Oreochromis niloticus: one gene and its partners. The main gene of each other region encodes a partner of the protein of the gene in region 3 in a complex. Links are inferred from orthologs where the notes say so. Each region holds a gene or a part of one and is shown on either strand. Other genes may lie near its edges. The genes, in order: sost, dickkopf-related protein 1 and lrp6.

Region 1 (7,783 bases), on a different chromosome or scaffold from region 3:
CCTGTAATTATATTATATTACCAATGGATACTGTTGCAAAAGATCACCCTCTGGTTCAGATTCTTTGATTTTTGGCATAGGTCTGCCAAACTCCCCTGTTAGCATCTTTCACAATACTCTTGTTCATCAGATTTCACGTTGCTGCCAATCTGCAATTTTTGGAAAAAAGTGAACACTTTGAATTTGATGCAAACTTCACTAAAGTTTTATACTCTATCCGTTGTAGCCATTAGAAGAATCTTATATTACACATTTCACCTTGGCGGCATGGCGGCGCAGTGCTTAGCTCCGTCCAAGCAAGCGTTCATGTTCTCCCTGCGCCTGCGTAGATTCTCTTCAGGTGCTCCAACTTCCTCCCACAGTCCAAAGACATAAACATTAGGCTGGAATGTGAATGGTTGTTTGCCCCTCTGTACAACAGACTAGAGCATTTACCTGACCTCTCGCCCTATGACAGCTGGGATACGCTCAAGTCCCACCTTGAACCTGAATTAAATAAGCAGGAAAAAAAATGGATGCATGGATAAAAACACTGTTTAGCCCAAGTGTGGCAAACTCATTTTTATTCATTCGACAAATTCTTACAAGTTTGCACTTAAGAAGTAAACCATGTTTTTAATAAATTACATTTTAAAAATGAAGAACAATTTTTTCCCCCCTTTTAAGGTGTGAATTTTAGTTTCTGATAGCACCAAACGGCTGCTAAATATAGTGCCGCATTTTAACAATGAAGATGAAAATATAAGTAAAAATTGGAAATGGCCAGAAACACCACTGCAGTGTTGCTCTTTATGTTTTAAATGTGTCACTATCACTTTCTATCAATGTTTATGGTTATGCCATAAACATTTTCCTCTACTTACAGATTTTGGCAAAATTACAAAAAAATGTAGGCATCTCAACAGCTTTTGATTTTTGTACATTTTAATTTATTTCAACAATCATAAAAATGATCCCAGCATATTTTATTCTGAATTTATCTTTGGGTCACTTGATATTTTGGGGCATTTACACGCCAAAATATAAAATATATATTATTTAAATGCACTGAAAATACATTCAGTCTAAAAGGGTTTTATAGAATAAACTCCTACATGTTATGAATATCATAAATTATAACAGAAACCATGCAAACACATGAGATAGCCAGTGCATAACTGTGTTTTTACTGGCAAATATGCATCTATATGAAATGCACTATGAGTAAGCAAAACAGTTGAGGTTAATTGGTGCAAATATGTGGTAAATTTATCATATTGTCTGATGAAAAAGATAAAAATGTAAGATCATGGCTGTTGAACAAGTTTCTTTTCCTTCTTAAACTATTTATTGACATCAGCTTTTGTGCAATTTCCCATCATCACATCAAACAGTCATGTGAATAATGCGTTACAGAACATTCGAACAGCCGACTTTTAGAACAACACCGTCTGGACATGATGATTTGCTTCAGGAGTCTTTGTGTTGATGGCCCTTTGTTAGCTAAGACCACACAAACCACACATCCACAACGATCATAATCTAAACACGACATACCTAAAACAGGCATAACAACACTTCTACATTAATGAGTTGAATGACTTGAGTCGTTCTGCTGAGCTCATATGAGCAGGCGGTCAACAATTACAGTATTTATCCGTACACACACAAAAAAATGCTAAATTACTGTAAAAACTGTTTTGTGGTTTTACAGCAATGTGTCATGATGTTTGAAGCTGTACTGCAGTTGCACAGAAAGTATCAAAATTTGTCTTTATGTACTTTTTTTGAAAGTAAAAACTGTTTTTCAGCTCTGACGTGAGTATTGCTTAAGGAGCAGCTTCACTATTGTGAACAACAGAGTTACAGATCCAGGTGCTTTTTAAGTCTTTTTAACTACATTTAATTTTCAGGGCTTATTAGCCCATTTAAAGACTGTTTTCTCTTGTTGTTTGAAAGTTCCATGTTCTTATCTTCATTTCTGCTAAGTGTTTTTGCTGTGTTGTGTTTTTTTTACTTTACTTTTAATGCAGCTTTAGTTTAGCCCCAAGAAAAAAAACTTGTTCTCACTAAACCAACATTTGACCTTTTTTTTTAAATTCCATCAAATCTAGTAGCAGCTATAAAACAACACTATTACATACCTACAGTTGATGCAGGAACGTTTACACATGAAAGGACTGTTAAGCTCCTAAAGGCTGGACTGAAAATGCAAATTTTAAAGATAATTGGATTTGACACTCAAGAAGAGTGGCCCCTATACGAGGCTTTTAGAAATGATGAAAAGCTCTGTTGTTACTTTCTCTTCAGAAGAAAATGTTTTTGACTGGCTGATGTTATTTAAAACTCCTTAACAATAAATTTAATTTAATCTTATCCCCATTATGTTCACCACTTTAAATTGTGATGGATGGGCCAGTTGGCCAAAGCTTCAAACCCTCATTTGAGGCTTGTATAAAACTAGAAAGACCATGAGGAGGGTGTGTATGATTATGGAAGCACATCGGTGCCTCAATGAGCGGTTAGAGCGATGCGATACTGACCAAGAGAACCACTTTAGAGTTTAAGAGATAAAAACCAAAGATCTGCATGCCTGTACCCATCAGTAGAGCCGGACAGTGTCATGCAAAACTTGTGTAGTCTCCCTCAAGAGGGCAGTGTTTGAATGGAAGAGCCTCCATCTGTCAGCACTTATCAAATCACTGGGATATGAGGGGTGCCAAGAACTCACAGTCTATAACATTTTATTTAAAACAGATATGTGGATATGAAATATTGGATTGTCATGGCAAACATTTAAATTGTGTTCAGAACACATGTTGCTGTGCTCATACTTTTTTAGATTTTCACATCTCGTTATATTAAGTGTCTCTGCTGAGACGTGTAATGATGGGTAATTAATGTGAAGGATCAAATGATTAATTTGTGTACAGCCTTGAGTCAAAGACAGGGTAAAAACGTGTCTCGGGTGGAGTGTGTGTGGCGCATGTTTGCTGCAGCAGTGGAACAAGTTGCACCCTGCGATGAAGTCCAAAATAAACCCCCTTGAAAAAAAAAATGCTTTCTGAGACACGTAATGCTGCGGAAGCTGTTAAAGAAGGGGGAGGAGAAGATGCACCGGTGCACTTAAATCCAGTAACAACAACAGCGGCACAGAGCGATGTGCAGATGAGCTGCCTCACTCAACACTCTCTGACATAAGTAAGCTCCTCTCCAGTATCTCTTTTTTTATTTCTCTGTCCTTTCAACCCTTTCCTTTGGCTTTCATCCCCCTTATCTTAACTCTTTTTACTCCCATTTCCTCCACTCTCCTCTGACCTTTCCCTCTCTTCTCCTTTTTCAGTCTCATCTCACACCCAAGGGTGTGTTTAGAGCAATGGCACAGGGTGGCACCAGCCCAGAATTATTAGGCTTATAATCCCCAACACCAGTGGATAAGAACATGGATAAGTGGTAGAGCATAACTTCAGAATTTTACTCAAGCATTTAACTGACCAATGCAGACATCAGCCTGGTTACTTATTATATTGTATGTAAAGGTGATTAAAATGACATGTACATTAATGAATCAATTATTATGACTGAATAACATAATGAGTACTTTGAAGCATTTAAAGATCAAAAAAAGAAGAAAATGTTACTTTTATTTCATGTAGATGGAAATATCACCACACTGTTGCTCTATATGGCCAAACAATACACATTAGCCGTTTGTACCATTTCAGTAAGCTTATGGCTTTTACTTCAGTAAATGGTCTAAATACTTGACAAAATGATTTTCAGGCACTTGTGCAGACACTTTTCATATAGAACATATGTACTCTATGAAGGCATAAGGCTGCACACAAGCCTGGAAATCTTCCCTAATATCCTCTACACTCTTTTTTTAAATTTCTGATCAAATATTCTGGTTAACTATTTTAAAAATAAGTAAATAAATAATGGAAGCACTCCTGCTCATATCTGTATTTTCCTTCACTGCGGTCTCTTCTTCCTTGATCTTCTCAGTTTTCTATTACTTTTCTTCTTCTCTCTCCTCTCTCTGTTACTCCTCTCCTGCTCTCTCCTCTCTCTGTTACTCCTCTCCTGCTCTCTCCTCTCTCTGCGCATTCATCCAAACCTCTCCCCTCCTCCTTTCTCAATGAATCTCTCGGCCAGGTTCAATCCCTCCCACTTTGTGTAAGCGCCTAATTGTCAGCCCTGACGAAAACTTGCGCAGCGCTTAAATACCGCATTCGCCTCTTGCTTTGAGAGTGCAAGTGACCAGCCTGTTCAGAAGGACATCTCTTGTGTATGTGTGTGTATGTGTGTGTGTGTGTGTGTTTTATTTTAACAAATTTTTTTTTTTTTAAATCTCCTTGTGTGATTTATTCCTGCTGACCGACAAGCATGCAGGTGTCTGTGGCCCTCCTCGTCTCCAGTTCGGCTTTCCTGCTGCTCCAGGGATGCTGCACCGCTGTGAAGGGATGGAAGGTTTTAAAAAATGATGGCACGGAGATTTTACCAGAACGCAGAGAAAATACGCGGACGCCGCTGGAGGCAATACTACAGCCGTCCAACAGCAACAATAACAACAACAACAACAGCAACGCTATGAATAACAGGGCAAAAAACGGCGGACGGGCGGCAAGCACAGTTTCCTACAGTAAGTATCATAAAGATGACAGAACAAATGTTAAATATTTAATTTTACAAGTTAAATAAAATGAGAAGGTAAAGATCAATAAGTAAATCGACGCAATGCTTAAAGTTTAAATGCTGGAGTGATTTAATTTGACCTCTTAATTGGAGGCTCTTGTGCGTAAAATTAACCATCCGTCAGAGCTTTATAAAAACTCATTAAAAGGCTTAAATTTAGAAAACTTTCGGATTTTATCGCATAAAACCTATTCCCAGCTTGTATGAGAACAAGCAGGAAGGAGCATAAATGTTTATTTATTTGATTTTAGGTCCCCATTTTCAATTAGTGCACGTTTATAAAGAATAAACGTGGACCCAACTGCGCTGTACACCCAACCTTTACTTAATACACAAAAATGTGACATAAATTAGGAAAGTTTATTTCTCATTATATTTTCCACATTTAAGAATTTTAAACTTTAATTCAACTTTTTTTTGGCTTAAAAATAAAATAAAATTTAAAATCTTGTGTCAAAAATATTCAGTGTATGTGGAAAATGTAGGCTCTCCAAATTAATGTGGCTTTTTAAAAATTGCCCTAAAACACCCTGCCTCTACATCCTGCTTCATTATCACATCAATTTCCTGATTAAGAAGCGTGTAAAAGGTCTGGTTTAATCCAGAGGTGAGGGTGATGAGAGCGGCTCAGACGCACATTCCTGTGGTTTCTTCCCCTACACACAGCAGTCAGTGAGACATCGGGGCTTTTTCACATTGTCTTCCAGGTTGTTTCCTTCTCTCTTCATACTATTAGTCAAGCTCTACTTCCACCATAACTATTTGATTGCAACAACATGTCTCCCAAACAGAAAAAACCCCACAGTTTGCTCTTTGGGGAGATGTCTTTGGGGGGGTTTTAGAAATTGCTTTTTAAATGCAACACTGCCTTTGACAATGATTCCCACCTGTGGCCGGTAACGGTTGTGTGTTCTGATTAAGTAGCGCATGCAGGATAATCTCATGCTTGGTCTCATGGATTCGAGATGGGTGGTGCAACATTTTTGTTAAATTATGGCCCCTTGATTTGGAGATCAGAGGAGATGATTGATTAGATTAGAAGAGCAACAGCTGACAAGAAGTGAGTAGTAAGTCGAGGAGAGTTAGTGTGACTGATTTTCTTGTCTTAAAGGGTAGAAAAAGAAAAAAAATCACACGCCAAGCAACAGCTCCAGAAGATCTCATTTAACAGGAATTTATTCATTATTAGCAGGGATGGAAAATGCATCTCTTGCTTTTACAGTGAATGTGCAGCTAATGAAGGCAGAACTCTCCTGGATTATTTTCTTCACCCATATCTTAATTTTCAAGTTATCCTTCCCCCTGTGGGGTCACAAAAGAGGCTGTGACCACTGCCTGGCCTCCCTCCAGTCTTCCCCAGAGGCTTGTCTCCCACAGCTGAGGGAAAGGAACAGCTCACGCAACTCTACAGTAGTCTAGTGTGTAATCATGAAAATTTGAGGCTCATTAGTAATTTTAAAACTAGGGTGGAGAATTGAAAATGTTAGGCTGGATTAAAACACATCCTGGTGCTTCATAAATAAGACAACCTGTCTTGGCATATGGTGGTAACTGGTGCAAACCGCCACCCGGTGTACGCTGTAGGCGTTGTATACTTCTGCGGTCGCCTTCACCAGCAGCCGCAGAATAACACTAGATCATGTTCTCGTGAGGAGAGGGGAAAAAAAGGAAGTCACCTCACATAAATCCTTTGTTCAGCCCTTTTTGCAAAGAAAGCCACAGAGGAAAACAGATCCTTCTCCGAGTGTATCATTTCTTAACCAACAGTTCTTTTGCCTCCTCGATTTCTTTCTTTTTTTTTTTAAACATGCAGCTTGTAAGAAAAAAGAAAAAGAAAAAAAACACAGGACAATAACTCATGCGTACGGCTGTTAAAAAGCTGCAGCTGAAATATAGGATTACAGCCTGAGTGTGCTGTCTCGAATCAGCCTGGCAGATGTCCAGTTTATTCAGAAGTGTACAGTTGTAGCGCTGCCTTAAAATAACCAGACAGCTATTTACTCTTCCATCACCACATACATTTCCTGAGGGCCAACGGTGAATGCCAGCTTTTTCCTTCCAGACCAAACCTCCGTTCGGTTTGATTGAGCTGTTTAATGGCCCTCTGGTCTGGATTTGCTATCAGCTGATTGCTGCCAGCTGGATTTCTTCGTCAGGCCCAGTTGTCAGCTAATGATCAGACCATAAATCAAATTCAGAAACTCTGATCTCATTGGCTTAAGCCTCCACTTAAAAGTACAAATTACTGTATTAGGCTGAATTTAGAAAAGTGGATTTTTCAGCTGCTCTTTTGTGTCTCGTAACGTGTCGGAGCTGAAATGAAACGCTGCCTCCGGTTCAGACTTTATTTGCCTTACGTTGTTTGTTTTTCACATAAATAACGCAACACGTGAAGTCACGTTGGCATAAACAGACCGAGGCAAATGATCACACACTGAAATAAGACACAGCTGCAGTCGCCCTGCAGAAAGTCCGCAGCACTGTGTGGCTCTCCAGAGTGTTTGTTCTGGACTCGATCCATGAGTGTTAACGGTTATCTCCTCTCTTCAACCCAGGTGCCTCGGAGGTGAGCTGCAGGGAGCTGCGTTCGACCCGTTACATCACCGACGGCTCTTGCCGCAGTGCCAAGCCTATCCGAGAGCTGGTGTGCTCGGGTCAGTGCCTGCCCGCGCACCTCATGCCGAACTCCATCCTCCGTGGCAAGTGGTGGAGAAGCAGCGCCTCAGACTACCGCTGCATCCCGGCGCACTCCCGGACACGCAGGGTCCAGCTGCAGTGTCCCAACGGCAACACTCGGACGTACAAAATCCGCGTGGTCACCTCCTGCAAGTGCAAGCGCTTCAGGCCGCATCACAACCAGTCGGTGGCCAAGGAGGTCCCGAAGACGCAACGCAGCAAGAAGCACAGTCGTTTGCCTCAAGATCGGAGCAAGAACAACACGCCTTTGACGGGGAACTCATATTGATCCTCCCCCTTGGCATCCCGGGACAGAGACCAGATATACTCATACTCACGCACACGTTACACAACACATCAACCAACATATCTCCTTCAAATAGGGAGGAGATACAATTTCAAAGACTGCAAATCCATAAGCTAAAATGCT
Region 2 (8,398 bases), on a different chromosome or scaffold from region 3:
TCTGGCTCGGTCAGATATCAAGAGTGTCTTGTGCGTCTTTTGATCTGACAAGAGAATCAAACAAAAAGTATAGTAATTTCCTCACCATCTTCTAATCTAAACATCTCTAATTACAGGTACCAAGGTGTATTTGAGTGGATTCATAGCCTACATATTAGAGCACATCTATTGCGCAACAGCCAGGAAATGGGGTGTGCTGTGCAATTGGAGAGACTGAGAACTTTTTTTGTTGTTGTTGCATCACAGAAAAAGTGCTGTGGTGCACCTCATTTCATGAAGCCTTGTGTAGATTGAGTAAGATGAAATAATTAGAGGCTTTAGCTTGGATAGCCAGCTATCTGCTCTGCTGCACATGAAGGCAGGAACATCATAATTAGAAACTAGCCAACACCAAAGGTGTAGGTGGCAAACACATTCGTCAGGACACAGATACTTAGTTATTACCTCTTTGTAGGCATCATTTGATATGGTGGGTTGCCTTCATCTGATAATATATCCTTGATTGACCATTCTCTGCTTTCACAGCAGGACCTGACGTGTTGAGGCTCCAGTAGTAACTCATTACAGTTGTATGTTTGTTGTAAGTCTTTTTGGGTCTGTGTAACAACTGTGTTTAGTGATTCTGGGCCAGGTTAAGCACCACAGACATCCTTCAAACAACTTTTGCTTTTCAGAAGGGGACAGTTGTTATTTTTCTGTGTACCAGCTACTATATGAAGACTAAATCATTTAGTTTTTAACTTTTGCAAGAAACCTCTACAAATCCTACGTAAAGCCCCCCCCCCTTTTTTTGTTGCAGTAGATTCAAATTTTAAAAAATGATGAATAGAAAGACTGCATTAAGATTATCACGTGACATTTAATAAAACAAATATATTCAAATTTTCAATAGATAACATTTCTTATAAAACATTATATATAACACATTTACAATGCATGCAGCACCATGTCTTTATAATACTGGTGTTGACAGAATGTAATAGCTCATTTAAGTGCCACATCCAGGGAAATATGTACAATACAGTAATTTACTGCAATAACCGTGGCATGAAGTTCCATAAAAAGAGAAACAAAACAGCTCTGCCATTACCAACGACATGCATTGATCTTCCTAATACTTCTGAAATGTCACTTCCTAACTTCCGACTCCTCATCTGCTGAAAGGGAATTGAATCAGTCCGTCTTGCACTCTTGTATCCCTCTGGGTGTATCACTTTTCCAGGAATCATGTCTATCCTTCCGGCTGATGTGTTTGTGTCAGCAACTTTGGCAGGAAAGAATGTCTTAGGTGTCTGTGTGCATGTGTGTGCGCGTGTGTGTCAGCATCTCTTGTGTATGCAAGTGTTTGTCAGTGTCTGTGACTGATTTGTGGGTTTTGCTGGGCGTGTGAGTGTGCAGGTTTCTGTTTCTGTGTGCGTCCACTCGTTCATGTCAGCGTCTCTGACAGGTGTGTAGGTTCCGGGCTGCAGTCCTGCTGACAGTGTGATCTCGCTCTCCTTTCTCTGGTCGGCAGGCCAGCCCTTCGCCGCAGTCACAACGCTGGAACAGCTCCAAGCCATGGTTGCCTTTCCTGCGGTGGCGCGTACACACCTGGCCCTCTGTCAGAACAGGCTTACAAATGCGAGACCAGAAGTGTCTGGCACAGCAAAGACCCTTGGAGCAGTCTGCAGATCTCAGGCAGGCATCCCCCTCTTGGCCTGGAGATGAGGGGGGGAAGAGAACAAAGTGAAAATATGTTACATGGAACAGACCTCCCTGAAAACTTCCTACTGCTGTTACTTGAACCCAAGAGATAAGACTGATGATTTTTAACAGCACACTTACCTTTGACAGCATGAGGCTGGTTGCTATGGGCAGTGGGAGGCTTCTTGGCTCGATGCTCCGTGGTACTGTTGTGTGTGTGCCAGCCAGTGGTGAGAGCTACATCTGCACCATCTAAGTCATTTGCCTGGCAAACACCTGAAAAGGTAAAAGACGAAAATAAATAACTGCATTTAGGGTTTGCAATTAACACTACAGAAAAAGCCCTTAGTTAATTAAGATATAAATAATAAGTAGAAAGTTGAATAAAAAAATATAGTTTACAAGATGACAAAAAGAAAACCAAAAGTCATTACTGATTTGAAATGAGCTCACCGTTGCTGCAGCGGTTTCCTGTACAACACATCGAGTCCCTTGCGCAACGCTTTCGGTTCTTACGGCAGGGTAGACAGACGCCTCGAGCATCGTTGCAGAATTCCTCACCTCCACACTCTTCATCATCCGTGCAAACACCTGAGCTCTATATATGATTAAAAACAAAAATATTATGTCAGGAAGTATATTGCTATGATTTCTGTGACAACGTATATAAGCGAATCACTATTGTGGTGCACAGACTTGACTTTTACGCACGGCTGAGTTAATTACCTGCAAGGTGTCTGCGGGTAATTTGTGTCCCATGCCACCAGAAGGTGATGTTCGAGGACTCGGACTGACACTATCGGTATCTTTAACAACCGGAGCGCCGGGCAGGTTTTTGATCGCGTTGGAGTTCGTCAGGACTGTGCCCGCGTAAACGTCCCCAAGGTATCCAAACAGCGTGAGATACACAGCCAAGAAGCGGCGGACTGAAGGCATCTTCATGATTCCTTTCTTAAATTCTCCGGCAAACACACGATAAGAATGTCCCTTTTGTTTTGAGAAGAAGAGTGACAAAGTCCAAAACGGCCTTGAATCCAGAATCCTAAAGTTTCCAGAGAGTTTCAGGACGATGTTTGGAAGTCTCCTGACTCGCAGTCCTGGGATGATCTCTCTTTATACATGTGGACCTGTTTGTCTTCCCGCCCCTCGCTGTGCACTACAAAGGCGGAGGGGTGGAATTTCAAACAGAGACCCACTGTACGGAAATGGCCATCTCTGCTCCCTGCACAGGACAACGTTTCAGTGTTTGTGATGATAATGACCTGCAAAGTCTGTCTGAATACCCATCACACAGTGGCGTACACGGGAAACAACCCCCCAACCACCAGTCAGTACTTACTCTATCCAATCAGTATACAATAAATAAATAAATAAAAACATAAAAAATACAGATGACAAATAATGTTTTCTTTAATATTTTTTCGATGTGTTTTAAAAATATTACTCACAAATTCATCACTCGAGTCCCTCCCCCTTAGATAGATCTCTTATGAACGACAATTTTATATTTTAAACACACAAATCACACATCGGGAATAGTTTTTTTTTTCTCCATGTTATTTATCACTTATTTTAATTTTCGCAATTACTGTGAAGTTATCAAAATAGGCAAGTAGTATATTTTTCAAACTATTATAGGTATAACTTTATAAAATAAAAACAATGACGTTTTTCTAAATGTGGTAGCACATTTGATTTGTTGACTGATTTTGATTTATATCTCTGATAGGACTATTTCTGGTGACAACTTACCTGCGCATCTTTGTAGAAGCCGTTTGCTTATTCCAGTTTCTTTGACATCCTTTGGCTGCCCTTTGGCTGTGTGAAGACAGCGATTGAAGTTACTTAAGTCGATTAACTACTTCATTTGATCCCTCTGATTGCAAAGGGGGCAATTATCCCCCAACGTGTGCTTGATTACACCAGTTGCGGACATCAATGTGTAGGATATGCAGACCATTAAGGGGTGTGAAAACTTTGCCGAATTAATGGACTTCCGTGGAGAGGCCTTTCAGGGTTGACTGGCACTTTGAGATTAAAGGCGACTCTGATCTACCCTGCTCTTTGACCCTTTAGGCTCCACCACTTCAAGAAGGAGAAATGTATTTGAGAATATTGAAATTAAGTCTCAATGTTGTTTTTCCACGTGAATCTGCTGATAACCCCACATCGCACTAGACTTGTCTCCGTGTTTGTCCTTAAGTTGTTATCTCTCGTCCCTTTCCTGAGAGATGTGAGCTCTTCTGATTTATTTATTCACCTTAAACCTTTAGTGACACTGATTTCAAAACTTTTTGCACTGTGTGTGTGAACAGTCAGTTTTCGCTGTGCAAGAAGAGCTCCCTTCAGATGCTGAAGTGCGTGATAAAAAACAAGAACTTAAGTTTCTCCTTGTAGATATCTTAGCACTTGGACGTCATCTGCTGGTCACGGAGCCTTTATCCGAAGTTTGAGTGTGAGAACGTGTCTGCGTGTGTAGAAGAATAAGCGATGCGCCATAGACACCTGACAAACACATTAGCACTTTGCGCATTTGAATTGCTGCATATCTTTTGAAGTAGAGCTTTTATCTCCACTTTACTGAATGTCAGTACTGGTAAGGTGAGCTCCTTTGATGCACTTTGATCCCCTTTGATCTCACAGAAGTGTCACCCTGTTGTTATGGCTGAAGCCATTTCCCTGTGCCCCAAACAGATTTGTTGTGCGAACAACACGGAGGCCAAAAAAGCTGAATCATCCGCACTTACCACTAAGTGGATGACATTAAACTCTTGGAGTGATTATTAGATATCTGGGAACTTTAAGCGGTTCACATGAGGCTGAGGCGCCTGCGTGAAGGGACGTTTTAGTCTTACCATTAGCTCCCCCTTGTGGCAAATACAGCGAACTCTGCACAGCACAAGTTTGAAAGAACACAGCACACACGACTCAAAAGTATTGTTTTTACTCTATAATTTTAAAAATCGTACACGTGGCACTCTGCAAAATAACTTACAGCAGAAAAATAACAACACAAGGCAAATATCAGGTAACTTTGCAGAAGGCAGTCAATAAAAACTGAAAACCAGTGGTTTGGTAAGTTATGACATACATAAGGCTTTGTGAAAACATACCCCCCTCCCTCCCCCGACACAGTAAAACACTTATGGTTTAGAATTAAGATTTCTTCTTTTTTTTTTTTAGTTCTCCATCAATAGATTCATATAATATGTATGTTTGGCTTCCTGGGGTGAATGCACATAGGAGAATTTTGCCTTCAGAACTTTCTGCCTAGAAAGGCTTTGCAATACATGGTTAATATCGTCAAAAGGATGAATTTTAACTGTTTCTTCAAGCTTTACCACGTGGATTTGCTGCCTAGACACAAGCAAACAATGACTGTAAACTACAACGGATAAGAAAGCTTTTGAAAGGCAAACTTCTCCTGCTAGTGGGGTGAAATGTGACTTGAGCTTTTGAGCCAAACAGTGAAAAGAGAATTTGAATCGTGATGAGATATGATTAATGCTGACATTCTGTCAAAGACTGTCAACAGTGATAAAAATATTTCCATATTTGTACTGGCAAAATATTCATAACTGCAAATCATTCTTGCCGTCTCTAAAAGCTCAAATTTACTGACTGAAACAAGTGATGGATGGTCTTTCTGAGCCATGATTAATGCTCACTGGTGTTTTGTATCAGGCCAGTAGTGATTGACTTCAAAAGATCACATTAGATATGTGGAGAAAAGCATGTCATTGCAGCCATATCAGGTAGGATAGCTTTTAATCATTTTAAATGTTCTCGTGGCATAAATCAAAGGCGTAAGCAGGAAATTTTTCTCATATATTTTGTCAGCCATCAAATGACTAGAAATTCTCTGTGGTGATTAATGTATTTATTAGATATAAGAAAGGATGAAAAGCAGCCATCTAAGAGGACACATAAGTTTTTGAGGTGTATATGTGTTCATGCAGCATCGAAAAGGTCTTGTGATGTAAATTTTGTATGCCATTGACTTAAGGCACTTACATTCCTTTTGACTTCATGTTCTGATTTTTGGACGCAAGAGGTGACGAGCTGGGCGAGAGATCATGGTGATCAAAGTTGAGATTTCACAAAATATAACCTTATTTATTTAGCTTCTTTTTGCCTCTAGGAGACACTTCAAGATTCCCACGCGATTATGTTAAGTCAAGATAGTCTTATGATAATGCAAATGTGGTAAATCTGAGTTCCAAATAAACAGAAGGATGATTTTTTTTTTCACGGCTGAACTCAACATGGTGAAACCTGTTTAAAAACCTCGACAATACCACAAGTGATAAATCATCGATCAAGTTCACAAATTTATACAAGTCTCCAATTTTTCTAAAGAATGCTGTCAAGTACGTTACAAAGTAATCAAGCACAAAAGAAATCACAATACAAAAACAAAGAACCAGTACTGTCATCTCAACATCGCTTATTATAATTTATCAACAGCACCAAAGACATCAAAACCATGTTCACAGTTATGTCAGTACTATACAGGAGAGGACGTCCGGTTTGGGTGGATTCAAGAAGTGACTGAAAAACAAACTCAAGACGGATGTAGGCAGAGAAGCATTCGTATGCATGATTTTTTTTTAAAGCCTATTATAGAACAGAAAAGTGTGACCTCTACTTAAGCTTAAAATGAGCTATAACTGTGGATTTTCTCAGTTAATGGTCTTAAGTGCATAAGGACACATTGCTTCATGGAAATACTAGCTGACATTTCATGTGTGCCGGTGTGTGATTCATTAAAATTTTAAGGAGGGCACTTTAAGAGTCACATCTCTTTCCACTGAATGCACTGTGTTTGTGCTTTTCAAGGTAGATTAATCTCACATAAATTGTACTAAGTATTTGATTTCAGCCCAGTAACGTTCATGTGTGATGATAGATCTCGTAAATTCAAATACTACGTACCATTCATATTGTATTTTCAATAAGAAGAAAAATCTGTGACATTCAGATTAGTCGTGAGCACTTGGTACCAGTTGCACTTGCCATCTGTAGTGTGTAGATGTCTACAAAGCATTACAGATTGCAGAAAGCAGCTGCATGTTGATAACCAGGGACCAACTGCAGTATCATCATATCCCCTCCCAGAGTCCACCAAATATTTCACTAAAGATTGCGGAAAAACGAATCTATAAAAAAAGAAAAACCAATAACCATCCCCTTCCTCTTTTGAGCGGTTGTCAACATATAGTTCCTTTTTCTAGTCGTAGAAGCAAAACTTCGACAAACTTTAAAACATTCATCCATCCACTAAGCATTGCTTCATGTTACATGGGAAAACCTGGCTCTGTTATCAGCCTCTGTTGTATTTGTGTGTGTATGTGTGTGTTTGTATCCCTGCACTTTCTTTGCCTTTAAGACCCAAGTGTAAAACAACACCGGAGAAGTGCTACAGCAGTCCCATTATAAATGCTTGATCCAGAGCCACAGTGAAATAAAGGCATATCGGTGACCCAGAGGGTTTGCCATCCAACTATTTATCTTCTTTTCCATATCTTCTCTTTCATTTTTAATGCAGTTTTGTTTTTTACAACACAGCCATGTCCTCCATTAATGACCTCCAAACCATTAAAAGCCAACAAAAGAAGAGTTTCTTCTGGTTTCAAGAGAAGAGGACTTCAAAAATCAACGTCCCAGCCGGAGTTGTCATCAGGAGGTGGGTCTTCATTGTCCTCTGGGAAACTGTCAAAATTACTCGTGTCAACTGCTGATGTGACCTGGTAGAAACACAAAATAATCTTTCACATAAAGAATAAGCAACAACTGAGTGGCTATAAAACAAAACAAAATGAGCACAGTGTGCACTTACATTAGGGATAATAGGTGGTGTCAGTGTCCCCTTCTTCAAACCTTCCCAGTTAAAGCCCTCAAACCATCTAAAAGAAAAAAATAGCATTACTTCATCATTGTACAGCGAACAAATTAATACAAATGTCTGGACTGAGTAATGCGTTTTCTCACTTGTGCTTTTGGATGTCTTTGACACCGTTTTTCAAGTTTCCCAGTCTTTCAGAAGGATTATCCCTGAAGTAGAAAAAATAATATATGATTCAGCACGCAGACCACTTAAATGAATTACTATGTATAAATGTCTACAGGCATAAACACTTACCTGCATAGCTTTTTGATTAGGTTGGCAGCATTTTTGGTAATTTTCTTTGGAAACTCAATCATGTCGATTCCTCTCAAGATGATGTTGTAGGTTTTCATAGGATCAGGGCCAGAGAATGGAGGACTACACAACAGAGGCCAACATATTACTTTGAAGTAAAAAGTGCTTAAGTGTGGACAATTATGTAATCAGCTACCATCAAACTGTTCTGTGTAAATTGTGCAATGAGCTGACACATTTTAATTTTCACCAGGTGACTCAACATTTCCAAAAAGTTTTGCATGTATATAGCATTACCGCAAAAACTTCATAAACAAGTTTGTTAAGGACAAGCCCGGGCCTGTGGGTACCTGCCAGTTAGGAGCTCAAACATAAGGATTCCTAGAGACCAGTAGTCAGCTGAGATGTCGTGGCCCTTGTTCAGAATGATCTCTGGTGCTACATACTCTGGTGTCCCACAGAAGGTCCACGTTTTCTTCCCAAACCCAATCTTCTTGGCAAAGCCAAAGTCCACCTAAAGAAAACAAAGATTTTGTTGTCAGCTTGTAGTCATCAGGCAAAGAAAAATTTGAC
Region 3 (7,843 bases):
TTGGAAAGTATAAAAGTTAATTTGGAAAGTAAAGTGACTTTATGCCGTCTCTAAGAGGTTGAGAGCGTGTAGCTCAACATGTTTGATTTGGCTGATTTTTGGAAAAACAATCAGAAGATCAAAATGAATCAATGAAAGAACAAACAAAATCCTTCATTTTCAGTGCATGTGATGATCTGAGCTGTGATTGAAGGTTTGGGCGAACCACAAAGATTTTTAAACTCAAACTGGGCGGTCTGAAGTTTGGGAATGTCTGGTTTACAGTGAGGTGGCAAAAAACTGCACATAAATTATCCTTGGCAGAAAAAGTTAAACAGACAACCTGAACTACGACATCTCAGCCGCTTGGTGAGGTCATCATCCACACAGTGAACAGACACTCGTCCGATCGGTTCATGGGTTTGACTGTGACAAATTACTGTATGATCATTTCAACTCTTCTAACTCAGCAAAGAGCTGGACTTATTTACAGGATCTGTACCCATATGTGGTGCCATATTTTCAGAACAGTGGAGATTTGCACACGAGTCACCTGCAAGAGTTTTACTTACCCTGTTTGTCCTTCGTTCATACTCACATTTAAATATAAAGTTTAAGTGAAGCTGAAACCTAAACAAAACTCATGAATAATCAATAAGGGGGGATTGATGGAGAAACTGATTCAGGCAGAATATATAATGACTCCTGTATGTGTATGATCTGATCAATAACCACCCAATCACCAGGCTGCATTACCACCGCGTCCCATTTAAGTCGTGAGTCAGAAAAAGAAACTCGAGCATGCAGGTGCAGGTGGTGGGATTAGTTAAACCCAGCTTTTTTTAAACTTGGCTCTAGTGTTGAACCGCAGCACAGCAGAGAGCAACGCGAACACCCTGAAGCCTCTCTGCTCTACATACGTCATTGCTTTATTAATATTTTTAATCTTGGACTTAAACTCATTTTATGGAACTTGCGCAGAAAATTGTCTTTCTAGCAATTTTTTCTAAAATTTCTTGCTCGTTATCAGTTGCTTTTTAATACTTTTATATACAGCCTTTGTTTAACTTTATTTTTGATAATCTGAGTTTAAATTAGTGTTTTTTCCGTTGCCTTGGTACAACTTGCTTATTTCAAACAAATATATTTTCATTCCCACTTTTTCTGTCATTTATATTCCTGATATACAGTGAATCAATGTTTATTCATCCCAGATGCAGAGTCTATAGAAACAAGTCACAGAAGACAAGAAACAAGATAAAAACTAATCAAATACCCCCAATCTCCATCCCACAGAGTGATAACTACACCAGTGTCTCCACAACGAAGACTGACAACATGCAGCGCCAAATCTTTTATCTGTTAATCCCACTCAGAGTTGGACTTTGAATTCTTGCTGTAATCTGAATTTAACCAACTGTTAAACATTTGTTCTGGTACTGAAGATCCAGAAATGTTCGTTTAAATGACACTTACACCTTACATTCGTGCTTTGGTCTCATTTTATCCTTAATGTGTAATTTATTATATATTAACTGTTGCAACAAAAGGAATGACCAAATATAGGATAAAGAAAGCATTTTGTATATTTATCTGATTGTCCATTGTTACGCTCATATTTCTGGTGTAATTTGATCACAAAAATATGGGGGGAAAAAAACTAAATACATAAAAGATAAACCTGATATTTAAAAATATTTGATTTACAAATTTTTAACACACCTAATTATTGGGTAACAGTTTGACACTGAAACCTGTGGAATGAATATGTGATATGATAAATGAAAATAAATCAGAGGAGGCAGCGTAAGTTATTACGCTGTATTTCAGTTTTTAACACGGTTTCCGTTTTTAACACAGATAAAAAACACGTTTTTTATCTGTTTTTAAAAAAATATCATCTCTCACTGACCTATAAACTTTCTTTACATAAGATGGCTTTATGTGCTTTATTTTTCATCCTCTAGTGTTTACTGGATATTATCAGGAGCTCCTCAGGCCAAGATGATGATCTGTATGATATCGTGTGAGATGTGCTACACAAATAAAGTTAGGCCTGCTGAGTTGCTGTGATATAGTATTTCTGCTCTACTGCACAGGCGCGCTGTGTAGCAAACACTAAACTAAATTTAACGGAGCATTTTTAATGGCGATGACACCTTCATAAATTTACTTAATTCGGTTTACTTTTCTAAAGAGATCCACCTCGGACTCATGTCCTGGTCTCATTCTTTACATCCTTTAGATCCACCTGGCAGTTCGCTTTCATTTCTGGTGTAATCTGAGTTTAGAGGGTTTTTCTTTTCTTTTTTGCAGTTTTACTGTTTCTTTAGTGTCAGATTTATACAAATAAATTCATTTCTCACAGATGTGTCCAGTCGTGTAGCTGCTCTTTTGTGTGTAATGCTTTACATTTATTGGCCTTTCTTTTCTTTATTCTGTTCATTGTTATCAATAAAGTTATTTTTCCATGTAGATGGTTTATTAGCTATTAGCTCACTGATGCTAACCAGCTCGCTCCCTAGCATTTGTTATGCTAACTGCTGTTGAGCCCGATCCAGCCTGTTTTTAAGTTACAAAACACAACCAGGAGCGACCAACTGCGCCAAATACATACTCCCGCGACAAAAGGGTGCGCTGGAAGGGAAGCTGGCGGTGCTGTGAGTAGTCTCTGGTGGGGTATTTTCCAGCTAACAGGGCTGTTTGTGGTTTCTCCTCCAGCAGCAGCAGCAGGCTAAGCTAGCTCGCTCCACTCGGGAGAAATCCGACCCGGAGGCCGAGCTCCAAACATCCACAGAGAAGGGAAAAAGCTCCCCTGGGCTGCCAACACCACTTTTTCGCGTCTTTTACGCGCGGGGACGTGTGGGTAAAAGTCACAGTGTGGACACAAACTCACCTCGTATGAGAAAACAAAAACTACACAACAACAGACTCCGCAGCGCGACACCCATCTTTCTCCCGATTCTCGGCCCAGCCGCGGCGGCTCCTCAGCGGAGTATTCCCATTGCTGCGGCCGCTTCCTTGGCTCAAAAAAAAGCGGATTTCCCAGAATATTCAGGTCGATGTTCGGCTCCGGTTCGCATTACACCGTGCCCGCTTCCATCCCGGCTGGCTGCTCGCTAACTGCGTCGGATAAACTCTCGGTGTCTCACATTGTCCTGCAGGAGCTCCGTCGTCTCCTTCCGCTGTGAGGAAGCTGCCCCCCCTCTCCAGCCTCCGCCTCCACCTCCACCGCCACCTCGCTGCCCGGCTCTCTATTGTTGTTCCGCCTCACAGCCGCAGGTACGCTCACAGCACGGAAACGTCCCGCAGAACCGACTTCGAACCCCCACAGAACCCCACCCCCCAACACGGACGTTAACCCCACATTCCTGCGGGACTACTTTATCACACGGACAGGGGCCCCAGAAAACAGGGCCCCAATATCATCCAACGGCAGGGGCGTTTCCAGGGGTTTTTCATCAGGTGGCACAAGGCAAGGGGGGCTCAGGAAATGGTTATATACTATATCTGCTTTTTTAAACCAAATTCAGTCATTTGGTAAAAAGCTTTTAATCAGCTTTGTTTGTTAAATCTCTGCATCACAACATATCTTAAAAATCTAAGTCTATGTAATGCCATAAAACATCAGAAGAAACACATTTTCACCAGAAACCCACAATAATTACAGATATAGATTAATCTGACACTTTTGTTTGATTTTCACACAAAAAAGCCATTATGTGGATTATTAAAAAGTGTGAAAACTGATATTGTAAATAAACCTACATAACGTAATAGATTTTACAGTGCTTCTGTTCTTTTTCTTAAGAGAAAAAGAACAGAAGCACTTTTGATTCTAAATTTTGATTCAAAATTTTGGATTTTTACACTTTTTACTGACCTATAACATCTGATTTCAGGTTTTCTCTGTTTCTTTACACCCTATAAAGTTTACATGTTGCATTTTTCTATTTTTGATTTGCATTTTAATGTTTTATGCCTTAGAGAGGCAAGGTTGAGATGGGCAACAGCAGACAAGAAATGGTGGATAGACATGGAGCTGCCAGGCAGGATGTAGTACATGAAGAGATGATGGAGAAAAATGCTGGGGATAGTCTGAGATGGAGGCAGATAACCTGTGGTCTGTGGTCACCCCAAAAGGGACCTTTTAATTATATTAATTTCATGAAAGTAGCATCCCAGTGCCCAGAAAGTAGATAATCACTTTTTACAATATTATTATTCCTTTATCATTATTATCATTATTATTATTATTAAGATTTTATTCATGAAATATCAGCCCCAGTTTCAGGTTTCAAACATCAGAAAATGCAAGATTTCTCAAAAGCTTTCAGAGGGAGAAAGTTCACTGAGGATGTGAGGCCTCAGATTACAGAGTACACTTCCTATTTCAGAGTAACAGCTTTTCTAAAATCTCTTGCTGATTTAATAAAGTGTGGATCACTCTTGTCTTATCTAATGAATGTATCTGTGGGAGATGTGGAAGTGAAAGCAGGGCTGAAAAATTACAAGCAAGGTGGACCGGACGCAGATGTCCAGCAAAGAGGAAAGGAAAGCATCTCATTTACAATATTTCAGAGTTTAATCAGCAGGTCAGCAAAACTGCCTCACAGTTTCAGGAATATGAGGTAACTTGTTAACATATTAACTACCTGATCACGTGCCCTTTCATGAGTTCAACCACAATATCCATCACACTATTTGATCAGTGACTGAGTTTTTAGGATTGGGTTTAGACTTGATAATACTTTTGTAAGTATGGCGAATATCCACATGAAATTTCAAGTGCTGAAAAACTCATTTAAGCTCTGTTAAAAACTTGAATCATTCGAGTGTCAGTATCATGAGATAAATCATTACTTGAATAAACTGCACCAATTTAATGTTATTATGAGGATTTAGAGCAACAGGAACAAGTGTTGAAACCATGGATGTTTGATCTGTTTTTATAATAATTCAATGAAGAAAACTTTAAAAAGTGCATTCTGGGTAAACTTTCAAGACTCATGTCAGCATGTGTGATCAGTGGCTACTCCCTGAAGTCAGAGCATATCAAAGGTCTCTTTTTTACCTACATTTGATGCCAGGCTCATCTTTTAGCCATGATTCTTTAGGAGTCAAAATCATTCCTGAAACAGAGCAGATGATCACTTTCTGCCAAGCGGCGTTGAGAGCAGCTCTGAAGCACCTGTAGCATAACAAACAGCTTTACTACAAATGTTGAGATTGTGGACTTCACTGGGGTCATCATAAAACACAGGCAACATTTCAAAGGGTAAGAAGGTAAGTATGCTCCTGGTTAGATGAATATGATGTTTGTTATATTTATGATGGCCCCGATGAAGGCCACAAGCACATTAGAGTATTAAAGTTTATTTTTATGCAGTCATGACCAAAGATTTTGGCAGTACCACATATTTAGTGTTTTATACATTTTGCTGCTTCACTTTTTATCTAGCTTTTTTTTATACGTGTTTGTGATGTAGTGAAGAACAATGGTAAGAAATCCAGTTTCAAACACTCACAGGAGAGTCAGTATAATATATGATTTAAGTCCACTATAGTAAATATTACAGTGCTGAGCAAAGATTCTTGATTTGAAGTTTGGGAAGCTTCCTGGCCAAGGATCCAAAATGTTTATTTGATAATCTCGACGCCTCTTAGTTACCACTTTTATCTTGCGACACAAGACAAAAGACATCCTGCTGGAAGATCATCACCAAACTGCTCCTGGATCACTGGAAGAAGTCTGAGGATGTTTTTATTCTAGTTTTTGAGACAAACAGTGATAATCTTGGAACTGTGATAAAGCAGGAGGATCACCATCTGGGGCCCAGATACTGACAAACAGAAGGGTCGACACTGTAAACGTTAACTTTTTGCATACATATTAGCCCCGAGCCATGTTTATGGCCAATAAAGGTCTTTGAAACTTGTGAAATGCTTATGATTGTTCTTCACTAAATCATAAAAAAATTTTAGCCTTCTTCAAAATAATTTTTGTGCGGCGTACATAAATATATCTGGAAAAGTGATATAAAAACTTGAAATTTTGAGGAATTGTCAAACACTTCCCAACTGTTGAGCCTGCACCATGAATTTGTCCAAAGATGGAGCTTAGCTGGACACGATAGAGAAGAAGTTTGATCAAGAACAGCATCGACCAAAGACGTCACTCAAGTTTATGAGAAATCTGCAATAACATAAGACTGAGACCTTTGGGAGTTTGTTTGCAGTTTTTAACAGAGGTTAAATGTGTTTTTTCAGCTCTGAAAGAAGTAAAAATGCTCAAAAACTTATAATACAAGTTAGATAAATCCTAAATTTAACAGCAAGTTACTCTGAAAATACACATTATATGAAGGTAGAAGCATGGCTCCATGACATATATTTAATTTTCTGTAGATTTAAAAAACAGATGGGTCAGGTGGAAACTTTTCTCAGATTCAGGCTGATTATTTTTGTTGTTGTAATGAACCTGCGCCCAGTTTGGTTAATACAGAACAGTAATAAATGTGATGGTGTGATAAATGTGAAATTTTATTTAACTTGGAACAACTTTACAAGATTAATTTTGATTATTTGCTGGTGGAACACCCAGACGATACAAAATCACAGCGGTTCTATTTAAAATCAAACACACTCAGGAAAAAATAAATCTGCAGACTCAGAAACTGTTCAAAAATCAACAGTTTTTTAATCCTTACAAGAACAAAACATCAAAGTTCAAACTTATGCAAAAGCATCACTTCACAAAACAAGACCAAACTATTACCATCCATGTAATTATTAATTAGGCAATCAAAGTAAAAATCAGAGCAGTATCAGTGAAAACGCCTCATTGGTGCAGCTTCAGTTTATCGGACTGCTGCTGCTGCCACCTGGTGGTGAAGTGACGCTATAGCAGTCTCGTTTCTGCACATCCAGTACAATACAAATGTCATTATAGGAAAATAGTGCGCAGCAAGTGTCCTCTTACTTATGAAAAACAATCAGCAGATCATAATTATTTAAAAAAAAAAACAGGATACAATAGTGCATCGATTTTCAAAGGATTGCATCCATCGTTTGAATATTTATCCACATGTGAAATACAAAATACAAAAACACCACAGTGAGAGAGTGAGTCTGACATCTACACCGGTCAGGTGATTTAAGAAGCAATCACAGGCTCGTATGGCTGAAGCGTGTGGGAGGAAGAAGACATGCAGGTGTATACACAAAGGGCCCCGCGACCCCGTGGCGAATCAGAAGAAGGCCAGAATCTGAATCAGAGTCCGCTCGTATAGTTTCTTCTCGCCAGTCCACTTCAGAAGCTTCCTGAGTTTCTACGAGTAAAAATATTGCTGTTTGTTCTTTGTTCCATCGTCAGCTGAAGTTTTGGACCAATGAGCTTCCCAGCAGGACTCTGAGCTCATCATGTGATCTGAGAGGCCACAGAAGGGCAGTGTTACCGCCTAAAGTCTGAAGGCTGCTTCAAAGTTGCACTATCACTTAATAAGACTTAAAAAGATCGAGTAACAACTGAGGAATTTGTCTCATGAGAAGTCAAATAATCTAAAAAAAAAAAAGCCAAAAAAATATCTCAAAGTTTGATTTTTTTTTCACAAAATAAAAACACCTCAAATAAATTCTAAGAATAGTTTTTAAATTAAGAGATATTTTGTCTTCATTGTGAGAACTTTTCAATATAAGTCTACCATTTTTTCTTTTGTTAAAACCAATAACAGAAAAATTAAGGTATGAAGTCCATGATTGGTCCGTGATGACTTTAAGGAGGTGGAGTCTGAAATGGAATGAGGTTGGCATCCTTGTACTTTACCTACAGACTGTATATAAAAGATGGACATGGTCACTTAAG

Evidence for each region.
Region 1: the proteins of lrp6 (region 3) and sost are in contact, whole or in part, in a crystal structure (PDB 6L6R), measured with the Homo sapiens proteins. The link is inferred for Oreochromis niloticus from reciprocal best matches to the Homo sapiens genes LRP6 and SOST. Residues at the interface, in NP_001401174.1 of Homo sapiens: Arg28, Asp52, Val70, Ser71, Glu73, Leu95, Ser96, Asp98, Glu115, Arg141, Trp157, Trp183, Asn185, Ala201, His226, Phe228, Trp242, Met269, Arg336, His361, Asp379, His404, Asp406, Thr422, Glu447, Arg449, Trp465, Trp491, Asn493, His534; in NP_079513.1 of Homo sapiens: Leu115, Pro116, Asn117, Ala118, Ile119, Gly120, Arg121, Arg169, Thr171, Arg172, His174, Asn175, Gln176, Ser177.
Region 2: the proteins of lrp6 (region 3) and dickkopf-related protein 1 are in contact, whole or in part, in a crystal structure (PDB 3S8V), measured with the Homo sapiens proteins. The link is inferred for Oreochromis niloticus from reciprocal best matches to the Homo sapiens genes LRP6 and DKK1. Residues at the interface, in NP_001401174.1 of Homo sapiens: Arg639, Glu663, Ser665, Ile681, Tyr706, Glu708, Thr724, Arg751, Trp767, Gly768, Gly769, Pro771, Val790, Gly791, Arg792, Asp811, Thr812, Asn813, Leu814, Pro833, His834, Phe836, Trp850, Ser851, Tyr875, Met877, Arg1184; in NP_036374.1 of Homo sapiens: Glu185, His204, Phe205, Trp206, Ile209, Gln218, Val219, Thr221, Arg224, Arg225, Ser228, Gly230, Leu231, Glu232, Ile233, Phe234, Arg236, Ser258, Leu260.

What each region holds. Positions count from the first base shown.
Region 1 is NC_031973.2:6,391,979-6,399,761, reverse strand, and holds the start of sost (sclerostin), read left to right. Parts: upstream 1-4,161; 5' UTR 4,162-4,368; coding exon 4,369-4,624; intron 4,625-7,232; coding exon 7,233-7,642; 3' UTR 7,643-7,783. UniProt on the Homo sapiens protein: Negative regulator of bone growth that acts through inhibition of Wnt signaling and bone formation.
Region 2 is NC_031978.2:15,063,586-15,071,983, reverse strand, and holds dickkopf-related protein 1, read right to left. Parts: upstream 2,999-8,398; 5' UTR 2,626-2,998; coding exon 2,410-2,625; intron 2,282-2,409; coding exon 2,137-2,281; intron 1,960-2,136; coding exon 1,825-1,959; intron 1,698-1,824; coding exon 1,432-1,697; 3' UTR 840-1,431; downstream 1-839. Other genes in the region: cGMP-dependent protein kinase 1, read right to left, coding at 7,332-7,430, 7,523-7,589, 7,675-7,737, 7,826-7,948, 8,176-8,339. UniProt on the Homo sapiens protein: Antagonizes canonical Wnt signaling by inhibiting LRP5/6 interaction with Wnt and by forming a ternary complex with the transmembrane protein KREMEN that promotes internalization of LRP5/6.
Region 3 is NC_031981.2:21,753,731-21,761,573, forward strand, and holds the start of lrp6 (low-density lipoprotein receptor-related protein 6), read right to left. Parts: upstream 3,330-7,843; 5' UTR 2,931-3,329; coding exon 2,876-2,930; intron 1-2,875. UniProt on the Homo sapiens protein: Component of the Wnt-Fzd-LRP5-LRP6 complex that triggers beta-catenin signaling through inducing aggregation of receptor-ligand complexes into ribosome-sized signalosomes.